5 linked regions of the Callithrix jacchus genome follow. The protein of the gene in region 2 purifies or fractionates together with the protein of the main gene of each other region. This does not show direct contact. Links are inferred from orthologs where the notes say so. Each region holds a gene or a part of one and is shown on either strand. Other genes may lie near its edges.

Evidence for each region.
Region 1: the proteins of AKAP9 (region 2) and CDK5RAP2 purify together in Homo sapiens (affinity purification with western blotting; 4 studies listed by BioGRID and IntAct, with this or other methods). This does not show direct contact. The link is inferred for Callithrix jacchus from reciprocal best matches to the Homo sapiens genes AKAP9 and CDK5RAP2.
Region 3: the proteins of AKAP9 (region 2) and CSNK1D purify together in Homo sapiens (affinity purification with mass spectrometry; 4 studies listed by BioGRID and IntAct, counting the BioPlex papers as one, with this or other methods). This does not show direct contact. The link is inferred for Callithrix jacchus from reciprocal best matches to the Homo sapiens genes AKAP9 and CSNK1D.
Region 4: the proteins of AKAP9 (region 2) and PRKACA purify together in Homo sapiens (affinity purification with mass spectrometry; 7 studies listed by BioGRID and IntAct, with this or other methods). This does not show direct contact. The link is inferred for Callithrix jacchus from reciprocal best matches to the Homo sapiens genes AKAP9 and PRKACA.
Region 5: the proteins of AKAP9 (region 2) and PRKAR2A purify together in Homo sapiens (affinity purification with western blotting; 3 studies listed by BioGRID, with this or other methods). This does not show direct contact. The link is inferred for Callithrix jacchus from reciprocal best matches to the Homo sapiens genes AKAP9 and PRKAR2A.

What each region holds. Positions count from the first base shown.
Region 1 is NC_133502.1:168,803,387-168,806,904, reverse strand, and holds part of CDK5RAP2 (CDK5 regulatory subunit-associated protein 2), read left to right. Parts: intron 1-1,309; coding exon 1,310-1,426; intron 1,427-3,498; coding exon 3,499-3,518. UniProt on the Homo sapiens protein: Potential regulator of CDK5 activity via its interaction with CDK5R1. Negative regulator of centriole disengagement (licensing) which maintains centriole engagement and cohesion. Involved in regulation of mitotic spindle orientation.
Region 2 is NC_133512.1:57,509,233-57,511,997, forward strand, and holds the end of AKAP9 (A-kinase anchor protein 9), read right to left. Parts: coding exon 2,626-2,765; intron 1,065-2,625; coding exon 1,027-1,064; 3' UTR 511-1,026; downstream 1-510. UniProt on the Homo sapiens protein: Scaffolding protein that assembles several protein kinases and phosphatases on the centrosome and Golgi apparatus. Required to maintain the integrity of the Golgi apparatus. Required for microtubule nucleation at the cis-side of the Golgi apparatus.
Region 3 is NC_133506.1:137,884,425-137,887,942, reverse strand, and holds part of CSNK1D (casein kinase I), read left to right. Parts: intron 1-1,208; coding exon 1,209-1,380; intron 1,381-1,750; coding exon 1,751-1,890; intron 1,891-3,518. UniProt on the Homo sapiens protein: Essential serine/threonine-protein kinase that regulates diverse cellular growth and survival processes including Wnt signaling, DNA repair and circadian rhythms. It can phosphorylate a large number of proteins.
Region 4 is NC_133523.1:12,894,404-12,898,458, reverse strand, and holds the start of PRKACA (cAMP-dependent protein kinase catalytic subunit alpha), read left to right. Parts: upstream 1-1,245; 5' UTR 1,246-1,445; coding exon 1,446-1,491; intron 1,492-4,055.
Region 5 is NC_133516.1:31,404,876-31,408,393, forward strand, and holds part of PRKAR2A (cAMP-dependent protein kinase type II-alpha regulatory subunit), read right to left. Parts: intron 241-3,518; coding exon 87-240; intron 1-86. UniProt on the Homo sapiens protein: Regulatory subunit of the cAMP-dependent protein kinases involved in cAMP signaling in cells. Type II regulatory chains mediate membrane association by binding to anchoring proteins, including the MAP2 kinase.

The sequences.
Region 1 (3,518 bases), on a different chromosome or scaffold from region 2:
CCTCCCCTGCAACGAGTTTGAATAGGATAGGTGTTCAGTTGTGTGCCAGGATGCTTTCAGCTGCAAGCAACAGAATGAGAGTAGCAACTGACGGTAACAACAGGGATTGTGTTTTCTCACCTAACAAGAAACCCAGAGGCAGGTAGTTCCAAGGTAGGTTTATGGCTCAGTGACAGCAGAGTTTGGGTTACTATCTGTGATGACTGCAGTAGTTACAATCATCCCAGTCTCTTAGACGGTGTCCAAAGCATGGGAAAGAAGAAGGTGGGGCCCCTTCCTGTCCTCTTTTCATGCTGGTGGAAAATCTTTCCCAGAAGACCCCGGCAGACTTCCTGTCAGGCCTCATTGGCCAGAAGTGGCACATGACCGTGTCCTCAATGCAGGGTGGCTAGGAAAGCAGGAATCTGGCATTTTGGCTCTGTGGTGTAGTAAGTGGACCCAATGAGTGTGGAGGACATGGAGGGAAGCATCTGCCTGCCACATAGAGAAGGCACCTTGCACACAGTAGGTGCTCTCCTGAGGGTGGCAGTGAACTTGAATGTTATCTGTGGAGTAGAGGTGTCTAAACTAAGAAGATGGCCCTTGCGTTTTGTTGTGTGATTGTCCTTTGCCATGGTGGGTCATCAGATGTTTCTGAATAGACAGTTACTTGAATGGACTTTGTTTGGGATAATAACCTGTAAGCACTGGCAGAATAACGGGGAGACAGGGTTAGAGAGCAAAGTGATAAGGCCTGAACTTTAGGATGAAAAAAGGGTAGGTCAGTGTTGGAAGCATTTTGGAGGAAGCAGCAGCAGTTGTGATTCCCTGATTGGGCAGTGGAAGAGAGAAGGGTTTAGGATGGCTCCCAGCTTTCTAGCTTGGGTTAGGGATTGTGGCGATACCATCTCATTAGGCAGGAAACAGGTGAGAGAGAGCAGGTTTGGAAGGATGAGGAGTTCAGCTTTGGCTCTGTGGACTGAGTGACAGAGTTGCCTCAGTGGTGAGGTGTGGCAGGCAGCTGGATATGTAAATTTTGACCTTGGGAGAGACATCTGTGAAGGTGAAGACTCTCACTTGCTCACCCCACTCCTGGTCCAAGTCTTCTGCTTTGTTCTCCCTTAGGTAAGATGTGGGGGAGCCCCTCTTGCCCCCTTTTTCAGGCTTACTCTCATTTCTCTTTGGCCTCTGGTAGTTTCTTACATAGTTAACAGAAGCGATTGTCATTGTATGTTGTGTTAACTCATTGTTTAAAACTGTTTTCTAGAAAGTTCCATCTCTGCTGATCTAAAGACTGTTTATAAATCAGTCTTCATGTGTGTTTTTTTAGGTTCTACAAACATTTTTGCTTCTGGTTCCGAGCTTCATAGTTCTCTAACATCAGAAATTCATTTCTTGAGGAAGCAGAACGAGGCCCTCAATGCAATGCTCATTAAAGGATCCAGAGGTAAGAATTAAAGGAGTCACTGGAAGCCTGGAATGCCAAAGCCTTCTGTGACATGGAAAGAATGCAGGCATTGGAGTCTGACCAACCTAAGTATGAATTCTGTGGCTCTGCGATGGCTTTACACCATTTAATTGTCACAGTAGCCCTGTGAGGTGTTCCTGTTTTGTAGCTGAGAACACTGGAATCAGAGAGGTGCTGGAATACCTCATAGGGCTGTTGTGACAATTGAATGATGTAGTGTCTCTAATAGGGACTCAGTAAGTGTGTTACTTCATTTGCTTGTCACTCATCCCCTCTATAGCCACGTGTCTTTCCTCCTAGTTCACAGTGGGGGAAAGAAGGGCTGGAAACACAATACTGCCAAAATCTCCACAAGAGAATTCCTGCTATCAGCAAGATTTATCCTATACTTTTTATAAAGATCCATTATCTTACTTCCTTCTATTTGGAGCTTGGCTCCTAAAAAGCTTTCACTTACATTATCTTTCACTATTGAAAACAATTCTGGGATAATGTATCATTAGCCCTATTTGACAGGTAAGAAACAGGCTTAGAGAATTGCCCGGCCTGTGGTCACAGAGCTAGAAGGTGGTACAGCTAGAACTTGAGCCAGCTTATTCCACTTTTCCTAAAAGGATATTGATGTTCCTTTTGGCTTAAGAGATGAAATTGGGGCTTCAGTCAGTCAGTCATTCACTCAGCAGACATTTCCTATCTCCTGTTCTACTTCAGGGCCATGTAGACTCTGATACAGAAATGAAAGAGATTTCATCCCTTCCTTCAGTGAGCTCATAATCGGATGGAAGAGACAGCCAGACAATCATGGCAGGCCAGTGTGAACCGCTGCCATGATAAAGTCAGACTATGGGAACTGCAGGACCCTAGAGAAGGCATCCTGACTCAGGAAAAGCTTGCCTTGAGAACGGAGTCGAGGAGGGCTTAGTGAAGGTGCCAAAGATTGAGAGGAGCCAGGGCCCTTTAAATAGAAGGAAGAGAGCAGACAAAGGCCCGGTGGTTAGCAATGAAGAGAGACCAGGCCTTTCGGGAAGTGAAGGAAGCATGACGTGTCTGGAGCTTGAGGGGAGAGGTGAATGCTTGCTTAGAAATTATCTTGTCATGGTTAAGAATGGAGTCAGAAAACCTGAGTCCGAATTCTGGCTCTGCCACCTACTGGCCGTGTGACCTTAAGGAAGTTTCTTATCTGGAAAGCAGAAAATAATAGTGCCTGCCTTGGAAGTCAGCCCTGAAGATTAACCAGGGCACTGCATGTCAAGGCCCCAATGTCATACCTGCACAGGTAGTGCTGGTGCAGCTCAGCTGTTACCACCACCAGCACTGCTGGCAACTGAGCCTGATGGAGCTTCCAGCCCCCAGAGTGCTCCTGAAGACCTGTGGTAAACCTTTTATAGATGGCAACCAGTTAATCCACACAATAACACCTGTGAGGAAACACATTTTATAGCTGGTAGCTCAGTTAATCCCCGTAATAACACATATGGAGAAGTGAAGAGCCTCCTCACTCAAGGTTATGAAGTCAGGAAATGGAGAAGCCGCTCTTGAATATGGCCTCTCTGCCTCAAGCACTGTGCTCTTGACCACGGTGTCTCTTGTACCTCTGGGTGTATTTCATTCCTCAGGAGAGGTGCTGTCCTCAGCCTCAGGAGTGAATGGGCCTCAAGGTACCATCTGTACAGCCCTGCTGGCCTCCTGGGGCTAGGTTGGTAGAAGGCCTGTGGCCAGTCCAACACCCATTCCCAGAGTTCTGGGCCCTGTGTTTTCCTCTGTCTGTACTTTCTACCTGCTGCTCTGTGAAGGCAAAATAACTAGGTTTACATGGCCTGTTGTTTAATAGAAAATTAAACAGACCCATTTTATCCCAGTGACGTTTAATCTGCAGCCTTGATGTTGACAAATTTATCTGCCCAAAGTGTGTAAGACAATTGGAATGCCAAAATCATAAATGCCACATCGAATCTCATTCTTTTTTGTATTCTTGAAGTGCTGTATTTATATAATAAGGTTGGAAAAAACAAATGGTGGCCCTTCTCAGTGGCGCCTTTTTGTGTTTGCAGATAAACAGAAGGAGAATGAC
Region 2 (2,765 bases):
GAACATCAAATAATAAGACAAAATCCTCCAGATATAAGCACCAAATACTAGTCCTCTTGCTGTTTTGTGAGTTGACATGTTACCGGGGAGGACTCCAGATGAGAAATAACATTGGAATTTGTATTATCTCTGTGAGAGCCTCCCAATCGTAATTTGGCTTGGACAACAGGGATACTGTTTAATTCTGCTGCAATGTGATTAAGATCTTTCGAGTTTGATTTCTTCATCTTTTTAGTGGCCATTGATTTATGAGAACACATCTTTGGATACAAGTAACACTAACTGTAATATAGTAAATAATGATTAATCATGAAATACCAATATAGCTTTTAAAAAACACTATGTAGATGTAAAGTTGACACAAAAGCACATGGAAAACTTTAAACAGTATTAACTCTAAGATTAGGACAACTTTCTCTGAATCTCTCACTCCTGTGTATTTGACATAATGAGATGCTATATACCAAGAACTATGGCTCAGTTAAAAATGAAGAAGGTTCAAATACAGTGTGGTGAAAATGGTGAAGTCATTTTTATTTCAGTACTTGACAAAATACCCCATAAAATTCAAAACTTCTATCGTTATACAAAAATAGGTCTCTACAAGTGATATTATCTGTCTTCATCACCAGTAGAATATATTAGGCAGAAACATGTAACTTCAGTAGCCTTATAAGAAAAGTGCAGGACACCTCAAGCTACACATTCAGCAGTAATGTAATGTGTGAAAGTTTAATCTTTTCTTCACCCATTTGATAAATACACAAGGTTTATAATTTAATGTTTTAAATTAGCATTCCACAAATATACAGGTAATTCAATGATTATTGTGCATGAATACATACACAATGCTTATATATACAAATTCCAGTTTGTTTTCATGTGTTGGCAAGGGATTTGTATACAATCATAAGCTGTGTTGATATTGGTCCCATCGAATATTCACAATACAAAAGCACAAAAGAACCACTGATTTATAAAAGGAAATCTGTTTTAAATCACTTCAATTAATGATGTTTCAAAAGATTATCTTCTAATGCCAACATGAAAGTGAGTAGTTGAACCTATGAGAGAAAAACAGGAAATTCAAATTATTTCAAATTACAGTACTATTTGTGTCAGACCCACTAGAGTTCACACAAAGGGGATTACTATTATTCTCAATTTTTTTAAAGCCTTTTTTTCCCTTAAAATGTCTTCTTCATACTTAAACGGATTTCACCTGCCCCCCTACCCACAAATGGAGTCTTGGCTCTGTTGCCCAAGCTGGAATGCAGTGGTGTGATCTCGGCTCACTGCAACCTCTGCCTCCTGGGTTCAAGGGATTCTCCTGCCTCGCCTTTCTGAGTAGCTGGGATTACAGGCACATACCACCATGCCTGGCTAAGTTTTGTATTTTTTGTAGAGATAGGGTTTCACTGTGTTGGCCAGGCTGTTCTCGAACTGGCTGGTCTCAACTCCTGACCTTGTGATCTGCCCGCCTCAGCATTCCTGCCGCCCCCAGCCCATAAACTTAAACTGATTTTGAAGATAATTTGAATATATATTTAAAAATCACCATGACTGGGCTCTATAGCAAAATAGGTGAGACCAATGATTAGAGTTTCTTTAAAGTGCTCTCAAAGTTGAATGTTCTATACCTCATATATTTTTGAAAGTCTTTTGGTCTTCAAAATCCACATTTTGTGAAATTTGGGTGCTCAAAACAAGCCAAGGCAAACCAACAAAGAAACCTCAGCTATGATAATAAAAGTTTCCTACTACTACAAGTTGCTTGGGTTAAATGATTTCTTGAAGAGATACACTACTAAGTTAAAATAATATGTTATCAACCAATAGTTTATGAGACTAGTAGGAAAAAAGTGTCTTTAATAAAAGTAAAAGCAAAATATAAAAGTTGACTTAGAGCACAATCACTTAAACTAAAATGATTCAAAGTCTCTGAATGAGGAGTGAAGTGAAGTGAGATAGGGAAAAGAGGTTTTCCTTCCGGGAACAGGGTCCACCTTTATTTTAAAGTGTTCTTCGGTTTTGAACAAAGAAAAATAAAAGAATCTTTACAAAGTGTTTTAAATGGAATAGTTTTTTGGATGATACATAAAAGCACAATGTAGTAGCATGGATGATGGTTACATTAAGTGCTTCAGCAAGTGCTTCCTCCTTAACTCCACCTGATTCACATGCCTTACTGCTTTCTTTTTTTTTCTTCTTTGAGACAGGGTCTCGCTCTCCTACCCAGGCTGGAGTGCTGTGGTACGGCCTTACCACTTTCCACCATGCATTACTTAGGAACACGTTCTCCAATCAGGCTGTGTAGACTCAGAGAACCTTGCACATTGGTGCTTATCATGCATTTTGTGTCATCAATCCACTGAATAAAGATAGTAGGAAATCATGTCTGGGAGGAGTGGTATATGGGGTAATAAATCATATCTTCACTTAAATTATTTAAAGTCAATTTCTCTCTGCTGGTTACAAGAGTTTAAGCTTTGGCTAACTTGATAGCTCATGCATTAAAGTGGAAGCTTTGATTATCCTAATGATGAGTGTGAAGGAGTTTTAAAGAAAGGATAGCTGTGGGTCTAGCACTGTGGTGCTGCCAAGGTGTTGTTAAACTTAGAGCACCTGACTGTACAGTTCCAAGTCGTCTTTGCAGTGCCTCTAGCCGAGTGATATAATCTGTTAGGGCTCTGTCAGGATCATAATTCTGAAGCTGAGAACATGCTAAAGAACCAGGATTGAAATCAGCTGGAATGCCTGGGTAC
Region 3 (3,518 bases), on a different chromosome or scaffold from region 2:
TGAGTGGGGTTGGGGCCTAGTGAGGTGCAGCTGGTCCAGCCTGACCCTGTCATGAGCTGGTTTTGCCTGTGGCTTTCTGGGTGTGGGTGTGAGAATGCCCTGGAGCAGCCCAGCCTTGGGTTCACTGTCTGAGCTTAATTATTCAGATGCCACTGCCAGAATTGAAGCTCCTCTGTAACTGTTGTGTTCTTTCATTAAAAACTGTTTAGTTATCAGTTTTGAATAGAAAAGGTTGGCGCTTTTGCAGGTGACAGTCTAATGAAGTAGCAGAACTGCTTCTTGGGAGGATACAAAAATGGCAGCCATGTCCGATGGTGGTGCAGGGTCGAGGCGGGGCGGGGGTGTCCTGGTCCGGGCCTCAGCACCTCCAGGTGCTGGGTGGGGTGGGCTCTGTAGGGCGGGTCAGTCCTCTGGCAGGGCTGTGCTGCCTCGGGAGGTGTCAGAGCCACCCTCCTGCTGTGTTGGAGTCCCCTGGCCCTCAGAGCAGGCTGGGCTGTGTGTAGTCCAGTGGACGTGGCTGTGTCCAGTGAGCTTTATTTGCAGGAAAAGGTGGTAGCTGGGTTTGGGTCTGGGGCAGTAGTTTGCAGGCCCCTGCTGCACAGCATTGGCAGTTAGAATCTACTCTTTCGTAGGCTGCTGTCTTGGCTTAAAAGCTGATCTCCCCACCCCCATGCATCTGGATGGTGCAGCACAGACCTGCTGCCGGCCTCACCTCCACACCTATGCAGACTGTTGGGGGCCGCAGGGTCTGGACCCTGAGTGGACTCCTTATCTGACCAAACGCTCTCATCCCCGCCCCACTTTCCTCCCCAGCTGTCACCATTTGGGGCCTGTCTCTGGCCTCCAGTGGTTCCTGTTCCGCTCCTTTCCCTGCACGTGTCAGTGAGGATGTTCACAGAGGAGCAGGCAGCCCAGCTGCTGCCCATTTTGAAGTTTAAGGAAGTTCTGATCCCCCAGGGAAGTGCTGTGGCGAGTGGGGTTTTTTCAATTGTTGGGGGAGCTTAGAGGCCTGGCTCTGACCCCTTTCTGGGATGGCACTGGCATCCCATGGAGAGAAACGTTGTGCAGTATGCGGGCGGCTTCGCAGCCAGTCTTGAGCCCCAGTGCCCTTTGGTAGGTATTTACTCACATGGCTGGGGCAGCCCAGAACCTGGGGTTGCTTTCTGCCAAATCCGGTTCCATCCCGGCCTCACCTCCTTCCTCCTCAGGGTGCCAGCCGGGCTGCCGACGACGCTGAGCGGGAGCGCAGGGACCGAGAGGAGCGGCTGAGACACTCGCGGAACCCGGCCACCCGCGGCCTCCCTTCCACAGCCTCTGGCCGCCTTCGGGGGACGCAGGAAGTGGCTCCCCCCACACCCCTTACCCCTACCTCACACACAGGTGAGTGCCCCCCTCCCAGCACTCTGGGACGGCTTCCTGTGTCTCAGGGTTGGTGGGGGCAATGCACTTGGTGGTGGACACTGTGAATTTCCCACGTCAGGTGATGCTTACTCCTGAGAGTGGATGAGCCGGGCTGCCTGGGCGCCTTTAGAAATGCAGGCACCTGCTGGTGTGTGTGATTCCTCCCGTATCCCATGTTTCTCCTTTGTTCCTCCGGCTGGATTTGAGTGTTGGTGGCCATCAGCTCTGCCGGCTCCTGACTGTCCAGGCAGCCCAGGGTCCTCTCCGGCCACAGCCTCTCACAGGAAGAAAGCCCTGAGTGGCAAGCAGCAGCCAGGGGCAGCCCACTCCATTTCTCTTCCTCTCTCAGCTAACACCTCCCCCCGGCCCGTCTCTGGCATGGAGAGAGAGCGGAAAGTGAGTATGCGGCTGCACCGCGGGGCGCCCGTCAACATCTCCTCTTCCGACCTCACGGGCCGACAAGATACCTCTCGCATGTCCACCTCACAGGTAGGTGCAGAGCTCCTGGGTGGGCACCGGCCTTGACTGTGCCATCCAAGTCCAGAGCAGGCTGTGATTTCTGAAGGGCGTGTTTCCTTCCTTCCTTTTTTCCCCCATTTTTGAGAGTTTTTAATCTCGCTGAGGCGTGGTGGCCTGGTTGCTGATGAGGCTTCTGGGGAGAGCCTGGGAGACAGGCCGGGCCATCACAGGGCTCGTCTTCTGGTCACAGATGGCCAGTCTCAGGTCTCAGGTGCCCGAGGCCAGCAGACCGTGGGGGTTTTCTCCTGCCATTTGAGTGCCCTGCCGCCCCAGCTATCCCCACGCAGGCAGCAGCACTCGCCTGCTCACGCCTCATCCGGGGTGCATTGGTGAGTGCCCTGGCCCAAGAACCTTCCTCATTCTTGCCACTGGCCAGGGTTGGAGGCCTGTAGGGACCTCCACAGGCTCCTCATAAGACCCTCTCTGCTAGTGTGCCCTGCAGCGAGGCTTCCATTCTTTTGACGGCCTTGTCTGTCTTCCTTCAGATAAGAAGCACCCCTGCTTCGCAGCAAAGGCAGGCAGCCCGGGTTGGCCACAGGTGCCGCCTCGTCAGCATCCTCCTCCAGCAGCCTCTCTTCTCCTCTCCTCGCTCTGGCTTGTTGTCTTTTGCGTTTACTAATGTGCTCTTCGAACCAGAACAGCTTTCTACCTATGAATCTGTTGTGTTTCTTCAGAGTGTTCTGGGTTGTTCACCAACAGGGGCAGGGTTGCCCTGTCATGGCTGTGTTTCACTAGCAGGAATCCTCGGGGTACCCAGATTCCCCACAGGTCTTCTGGATGAGCAGGAACTCAGTTCAGAAACGTCCTAGAGTCTGGCTGTGGGCTTGTGGGGCAGTGTCTCTTGGGGTCACAGGATGGAGCCAGGCCCACTGTCGTGAGCAGGGCTTGGTGTAGCTGGCTAGCCAGGAAAGCGCCGGTGTGGGGAGCACTCTTGGCCACTTGCTATCTTTTAATAAGTGAGTTTAGGCCGGGCATGGTGGCTCACGCCTGTAATTCCAACACTTTGGGAGACCGAGGCAGGTGGATCATGAGGTCAGGAGTTCAAGACCAGCCTGACCAAGATGATGAAACCCCATCTTCACTGGAAAAAAAATTTTTTTGAAAAACTAGCTGGGTGTGGTGGCAGGCACCTGTAATCCTTGCTTACTTGGGAGGCTGAGACAGGAGAGTCACTTGAACCCAGGAATCAGAGATTGTAGTGAGCTGAGATCGTGCCACTGCACTTCAGCCTGGCCGACAGAGTAAGATTCTGCCTCAAAAAAAAAAAGTGAGTTTATTGCACGTTTCTAATTCACTAGTAACTTAACTAGAAATGGATTTCTTATATGGTAACATTCTCTCAAAGAAACCAAAGATGCAGAGATTTTGACTTTGTAGTTATTTGCATTGGGCATGAGGGGTCCGGCCTGCATCAAGAGAGTGGTCCCTTACATGCACACAGCCCTGGTCTCACCTCCAGACACAGAAATGGTTTAACAGGTTTCTTCCCACGAGCCTGGCACTCACACCTCAATTACTGGGAGCAGGCCCCAGGAGGGTCTGCCCGTGCCCACCTGTTTTCTTGACACATGGTGGTTCTGTAGCCCCTGAACCATGGA
Region 4 (4,055 bases), on a different chromosome or scaffold from region 2:
ATTAAAAAATAATGTAAAAAGCACTCCTCATCAGTGCTTCTCAATCAGGAGCAGTTCTGCCCCGCAAGAGCACATTCACCAACGTCGGGAGACGGTGGTTGCCACGGCCAGCAGGAATAGGAGGGGCTACTAGCACCCAGTGGGTAGAGGCGGGGATGTTGTTTAACACCTAGTGGTGCACAAGACACCCCCCAGCAGAGAATGATCCAGCCCCACCTCCGCTGTCAGTAGTGTCGCAGTTGGGAAACCCAGACTGTCCTTGGCTAGGTGCGTACTGAAAGAGAATCCCGAAGGAAGGGGCAGGTTCCCTTTGCATTGCCCAGACAGGAAACAGACAGGGAATGTGAGTAGGGAATCTGCCTGGCTGTACCCCAGATTCTTCATCTGTGCAATGGGAGTGATGATGGTAGCACCTACGCGATGGGAGTATGGTGCGAAGGAGCGTTAAGTAGGTGCCAGCTCTTACTACTGGCAGGAGCCCAGGACTGGGGCCCAGCAAAGGGGTGGACACGGAGCGCCCCCTCTCAGCCACCCCTTGCGCCGGGGCCGGCATCCTCCTGCCTGCGGCTGGGAAAACCCAGGAGCCTCCGCGGCCTGGCCCCCAAGCAGGCCTGGCCACCACGACTGCCCAGCGCCAGGCCTTATGAATGACGCCGGCGGCGACCGGGCAACCTCTGACCCGCGCGCCGGCCGCTCTCCTCCCCCACTGGCAGGTGGACAGCGGCTGCGCCGGGCAGGCCGCGGCGCCAACCCCAGCTGGCCGACAGCCGCTGCCGCACTGGGCGGGGGCGGGGGACTGCGGCGTGCGCGGGGCCGGCCGGGAGCCCGCCGGAGCCGCCTCCTGAGCCTCCGAGTGCTGCGCGGCCGCCCGCCAGCCTCCGCCGCTCCGCCCAGCCGGCCGGGGCCCGCAGACTGCGCCTCCGCCCCGCCCTCTCACCCCCGGATTGACACTGAGCGTTCTACTGGGGGTTTGCGGGACAGCGCGCCTCCGCCAATCGGTGGCCTCGCGGGGCGGACCCCGGGCCCTTTCCAGCTTCTTGACCAATCAGACTCGTCTGCCCGCCCAGCTGCGGCCTCGCGAGTGTGTGAATGGCCGAGAGTCCCCGGTATACGTCACGAGGCTGAGAGCCTATAGCGGCGCGGCCTTCCCGAGGGATGACCAATGGACGACGGCGCGGAGCCGTCAGTCAGGGCGTCCTAGGCCAATGAGCGGCGGGCTGCGGGGGCGTCACGGACGGCAGCAGCGGACTTGGGCTGAGGTTCCCGGGCGGGCGGGCGCGGAGAGACGCGGGAAGCAGGGGCTGGGCGGGGGTCGCGGCGCCGCAGCTAGCGCAGCCAGCCCGAGGGCCGCCGCCGCCGCCGCCCAGCGCGCTCCGGGGCCGCCGGCCGCCGCCAGCACCCGCAACGCCGCAGCTCCGGGACCGGCCCCGGCCGCCGCCGCCGCGATGGGCAACGCCGCCGCCGCCAAGAAGGGCAGCGAGCAGGAGAGCGGTGAGTGCCCGGGCCGTGACCCCGATCCCGGCCCTGCGCTGCCAGCCCCGGCCTTGTCCATCACCGCCTGGCCCCTCCCCCCACGAGGCCCCCCCATTCCTCTCTGCCTACCCCCCAGCGCCCCTTGCCCCGGCCTGTCCAAGGCTGGGGCCCACGGGCCCGCAGAGTACCCCCTGTAGGGGTCCCCTTCCTCTAGGGCCGCCCCACACTGCAAAGACCGTGCTCCCCCCCAGCTGTCACTGCCAACCATGGCACGTATGACCGCTGGGGCCCCACACGGGGCCCTGACACCAGCCTACCCCTCCTTTCCTGGCCCCTCTCCCCAGATTCTAATCCCCCCCACTTCCTCACTCACCTCTCCCATGGGATCCTCTGCCTGACCCCGACCCAGGTTTCTGCCAGTTTGGGAATGAGATGGGGTCTCTCTGCCTCCACCGCGCAGGGACCTTGGCCACTTGGTGACCACACCCCTCCCCCCTCCAGCCCCCGCCATCTTTCTCCTGCCCTTCCCCTCTTCACCTTAGCACAGGCCCCCCTTCCAAACCCACCCTGCCCCCTGAGCTTTTCCCAGGCCCACCTCCAGCACTGTTTTTTTCTTCTGTGTCACTTGGCATGGGGGACAGGATCTTTCTGGGTCCCTCTGTCTCTCTCATCCTGTCACTCTGTCACTCTGCTTCTCTGCTTGTGCTCCGTCCTCCAAGGAAGCGTCTGTTCCTGGCTGGGTAGCAGACTGTTTATGAACCTAGAGAACTGCTTAAGTGCTTCCAAAGCCAAGTTTGAGCTGGTCTTGTTGGGATTCATTGCGTCGTCTTTCCTGCGTTGGGGTAGGGGGCGGTGCCAGAGCCCCCTCGCGGTTCCTGCCTTGCAGTGAGCCTTAGGCTCCTTGGAGGGCCTCTCAATAAATGGTTGTTTCCCAACTGAGGCTTCGTCATTCACCCAGTCCCTGGGGCTTCTTCCACCGCTCCTGGCTTGAGATGAAAAGTGTCTGGGTTTAGCGAGGTTCGTTCGCTTTGAATTGGGATGGTCAGAAAGAGCACTGGGGAGGTGGAGGCGGTCAAAGAGAGTAATGGGTGACGTCTAGTGATTTGTTTTGCCAAGGAACAAATAGATTCTGATCATTCCCAGCACTCAGCCAGGGAGAGACCTGTTTTACCCACTTGCCCCCAAATGCTGTTGGCCTTTTCCAGCCAGCCAGAGGAGATTCTGTATCTGGAAATACCCTCAGAAATGGTCTTAAAACCCATTCCCAGTGCTTCCAGCTCTTAAATTGTTCTCACTCCAGTCTGAAAGCTGGAAGGGACTGGGATCCCGTCTGATTACCCAGAAATAGTTCGGAACTGAAAAGGCAGGCCAATTTTGGGTCTCAAACCCCAGCATCTGAGTTCTCGGAATGCCCCCTCCCTGAAAGGGATGAAAGCCAGGGAACTTTATTCCCATATGGATTCAAATAGCAGAACTCAGAGTCACAGAGCAACCATGAAGAGGCCTGACATGTCACCAATGGGAGGGGGCCGGGGAGGGAAGTGCCCATAGCTGAGTGCTTGATGACCGAGGAGCAGGTGGGTGGTGTCCAAAAAAGGTCCGGGCATGAGCTTGGAGGGGACTAGGCAGAGGGGGAGGAGCCAGGCCCCCAGCAGGTGAGGCCAGCTGGGAGGTGGAAGGTAGAGGCGGGCAGCAATGTATTGCGGTGGCTCCACTGGAAGTTGGGGAGATGACAGTCCTGTGAAACCTTCAAGGCTATCAGACACGTGGTCGGGGGTGGAAAGCCGCACAAAGAAAAGGATCCCAGGAAAAAGATCAGAGGCTCTGGAAGGAACCGCTGATTCTCTCAGGGCACAGGTCAGACACCCAGGAATGAATGATCACTGAAATAGAGCTACTATTTATTGGGCGTCTAGGCTGCACCACTGGCCAAATGGCCAGGCGGATAGATACATCTACTCTGGTGACTTTCATAACGGGCTGTTATCCAGATTTTCAAAGGAGCCCTCTGATATAAATGACATCCATGACGGGCCGAGCACAGTGGCTCATGCCTGTAATCCCAGCACTTTGGGAGGCCGAGGCAGGTGAATCATGAGATCAGGAGATCGAGACCATCTTGGTCATGGTGAAACCCCGTCTCTACTAAAATACAAGAAAATAAGCTGGGTGTGGTGGCGCACGCCTGTAGTCCCAGCTACTCGGGAGGCTGAGGCAGGGGAATCGCTTGAACCTGGGAGATGGAGGTTGCAGTGAGCTGAGATCGTGCCACTGCACTCCAGCTTGGCAACAGAGCAAGACTCCGTCTCAAAAAAAAAAAGGAAGAAAGAAATGACATCCATGACATAGGTGATGTCACAGAGGCAGGATTCACATCCAGATCCATCTACCAGCAAACTTCCTGAATCCCAGAATTTCCCAACTCTGACATTCTTCAGCTGCCTCCCAGATTTTTACTTTTATCATATTTTCTTTAATTTAAAATAATAAAAATTTTTCTCACTTCTTTTCAGATGTAAACTTTGAGCTCTTTCTAAACAATAATATCAATGAAATCTTGGGTTTGCTATACCAGTTATATT
Region 5 (3,518 bases), on a different chromosome or scaffold from region 2:
ATAGTGTAAATCAAGAGCCCTAGGACAGAGACCCAGAAGGGCAATTAATACTGTGCCTTCCAAGGTGAAAAATGTCTTTCACTTACCAGTCCCCAAAGGGAGCCTTCTGAGGTAGCAACAATGGTAGCAGCTCTCGGGGTGTTGTACATCAGAGCTAGTTCTCCAAAACTGCCACGGTTGTCATATTGACCAACAGAGCGGGTTTGATTATTTTTTGTTACTAAAATGTCATAAGTTCCCCTAGAAGAGTGATAAAAAATTATTTCATTAGTTACTTGTGATAATAAATGTAAAACTGGCAGGTACATATAATAGAAAATGTTGTTTTAAGAGATTTCCAATGGAACTTTGCTTTCCAATGGAACATATTTTTGTATTTTGACTTTGGGTCCTATAACCTCACTAAACTCACTTATTAATTCTAGTAGCCTTTTTTGTGGCATTCTTGGAATATTCTACATAGAGATCATGTCACCTGAAAAAAAGACAACTTTAATACTTCCTTTCCAATCTATATGCCCCTTTCTTTCTTTTTTCCCCCCATCTTTAACTTAAAAAAAAAATTTTTTTTTAGACAGGGTCTTGTTCTGACACCTAGGCTGCAGTGCAGTGGCACAATCATGGCTCACTGCAGCCTCTACCTCCTGGCCCCAAGCAATTCTCTCAGCTGAGAATCCTGAGTAGTTATGACCACAGAGGTGTGCCACCACATCTAACTTTATTTTTATTTTTGTAGAGATGGGGATGGTCTCACTATGTTGCCCAAACTGGTCTGGAACTCCTGGGCTCAAGCAATTCTCCTCTCTCAGTCTCTCAAAGTACTGGGATTAAAGGCATAAGCCACTATGCCCAGCCTAAATTTTTTTTAATTAATACATATATTTTACATATTTATGGAGTACATGTGAGTGTCTGTTCCATGCACAGAATGGGTAATTATTAAGCCAGGGTATTTGGGGTATCCATCACCTTGGATATATGTCATTTCTGTGTCACTATCATTTCATGTCCTCTCTTCTATTAATATTTACTGTGAAATACGCAAAATATTGCCACCAAGTATAGTCACCTTATCATGCTATAAAACATTAGAACTTGTGAAGTTCTGTAATCTCAGCACTTTAGGAAGCTGAACTGAGAGAACTGCTTGAGCCCAGGAGTTTGAGATACACCTGGCCAACATATGAAGACTTGTCTCCACAAAAAGGAAAATTAAAGATAAGAAAGACATATTAAAACATATTTCTTCTAACTTTGTGTTTGTAGCCAATAGCCAACTTCTCTTCATCCACCCACCACCCTTCTCAATTTCTGGTATAAATCACTCTATTCTCTATGTCTATCATATCAGTGTTTTTAGCAGTCACATGTGACTGAGAACATGTGGTATTTGTCTTCCTGTGCCTAGCTTATTTAACTTAATGTAGCAACCTCCATGTTGCTACAAATGACATGACTTCCTTTTTTTTTAACGGTCAAATAGTACTTCATTGTGGATCTAAGCCACATTTTCTTTCTTCCTTCTCATCCTCTCTTCCTTACTGAATTGACTATATAACCTCCAGTACAATATTAAGTGAAAGTGGTGAAAGCAAACATCCTTGCCTTATTCTGAGTTGTAAGGAAAAACAATCTTTCACCATGCTGTAGGTTTTTAAAAAATGCCTTTAGTCTGGTTGGGGAAAGTTATTTTTGTTGCTAATTTGCTGAGCATTTTCATCACAAAAAGATGGTGAGTTTTGTCAAATATTTTGCTGTAGGTATTGAAACAAGTGCATGGGTTTGCTTTCATAGTCTGTACAAAATTAGGATACAACTGATTAAAATAAAGCAAATGATACAATTATTTAACTACTGATTGGCAATAATTGCTTAAAAAAAAAAATCAGAACTGACAAGCATTTGTAGAAATAGGGACTCTCAACATACCACTGAAGGAAACATAAACTTTTCAAAGTTTCTGAAAGATAATTAAACATATAGGAAATTCCTTAAAAAGATCCTTTGATACAGTAATTCCATTTCTAGTCATCCCAAAAGAGATAATCAAAGACACTACAAAAGATTTAATTGCAGAGATTTCATCAGGTAATATTTATAATAGCAAAAACTACAAGTAATTTAATCTGCTAATAATAGGAGATGAATCAAATACATGTTTCCATCCATATTATGGAGTCACTGAAAGTAATGACAGAATATGGCTGGGTGCGGTGGCTCACAGCTGTAATCCCAGCACTTTGGGAGGCTAAAGTGGGCAGATAACCTGAGATCAGAGTTCAAGACGAACCTGGCGAACATGGTGAAACGCTGTTTCTACTAAAAATATAAAAATTAGCTGGGTGTGGTGGCACCTGCCTGTAATCCCAGCTACTTGGGAGGCTAAGACAGGAGAATCACTTGAACCTGGGAAGCGGAGGTTGCAGTGAGCCAAGCTCGAGCCACTGTACTCTAGCCTGGGTGGCAGAGTGAGACTCTGTCTCAAAAAACAATAATAATAATATTGATAATAAAGACAAAATAATACTGTAACTCCATAACATGCTTAAAATAGACTTAAAAAATTAAATCACACAATGTATAATTTAATGTAATAAAATTATGTAAAGATAACTCCATTAGGTGACTTCATTTTTGATGTTTGATTGTTGACAGCTTTCAAATCCTTTCTCTTCTGCCCCATATCTGGGAAAGTGATAAGAAAGCCTAGGCACTCCCTCCTTTGGTGCTGATGGGGAGTTCAACCAACACAAATGCCAGCCCATGTGTAAGAGTACCCTCACCTAACCCTACCTTCTAACCACCATAAAATCCCAAGCCAATCATACCTTGCCTGCTATCTGAAGTCATTTTTGGATCTGTCTGGGAGCCTCCCCTGCTCTCTCTAAAAAGGTTCAACATGTAAGTAATAAACCTTTTCATGGCCAGGCGTGGTGGCTCACGCCTGTAACCCCAGCACTTTGGGAGGCCGAGGCGGGTGGATCACGAGGTCAAGAGATCGAGACCATCCTGGTCAACATGGTGAAACCCTGTCTCTACTAAAAATACAAAAAAATTAGTTGGGCATGGTGGCGCGTGCCTGTAATCCCAGTTACTCAGGAAGCTGAGGCAGGAGAATTTCCTGAACCCAGGAGGCGGAGGTTGTGGTGAGCCGAGATCCCGCCATTGCACTCCAGCCTGGGTAACAAGAGTGAAACTCCATCTTGGGAAAAACAAAAAACAAAAACCTTTTCATATCCTTTTAGTGTATATGTAATGTCATCAGTCTTGATATCTCAACCACATTTTGGGTGAGGTGTCTGATTTCAACAGTAAAGCACAGAAGTATAGACTGGTAATTAGATTATGCCTAAATTAATTTTATCCTGTTCTTATATTTTTATATTCTCTACAAAGAACTTCCATCTGTCTATAAAATCACTACACATCACGTATTAAAAGAAAAGCAGAGAATGTGCCACTAACTTGCTCTCAGGGAGCTTACCACTCAGTAGGAAAGCTGACCTGTACTAGGCCTT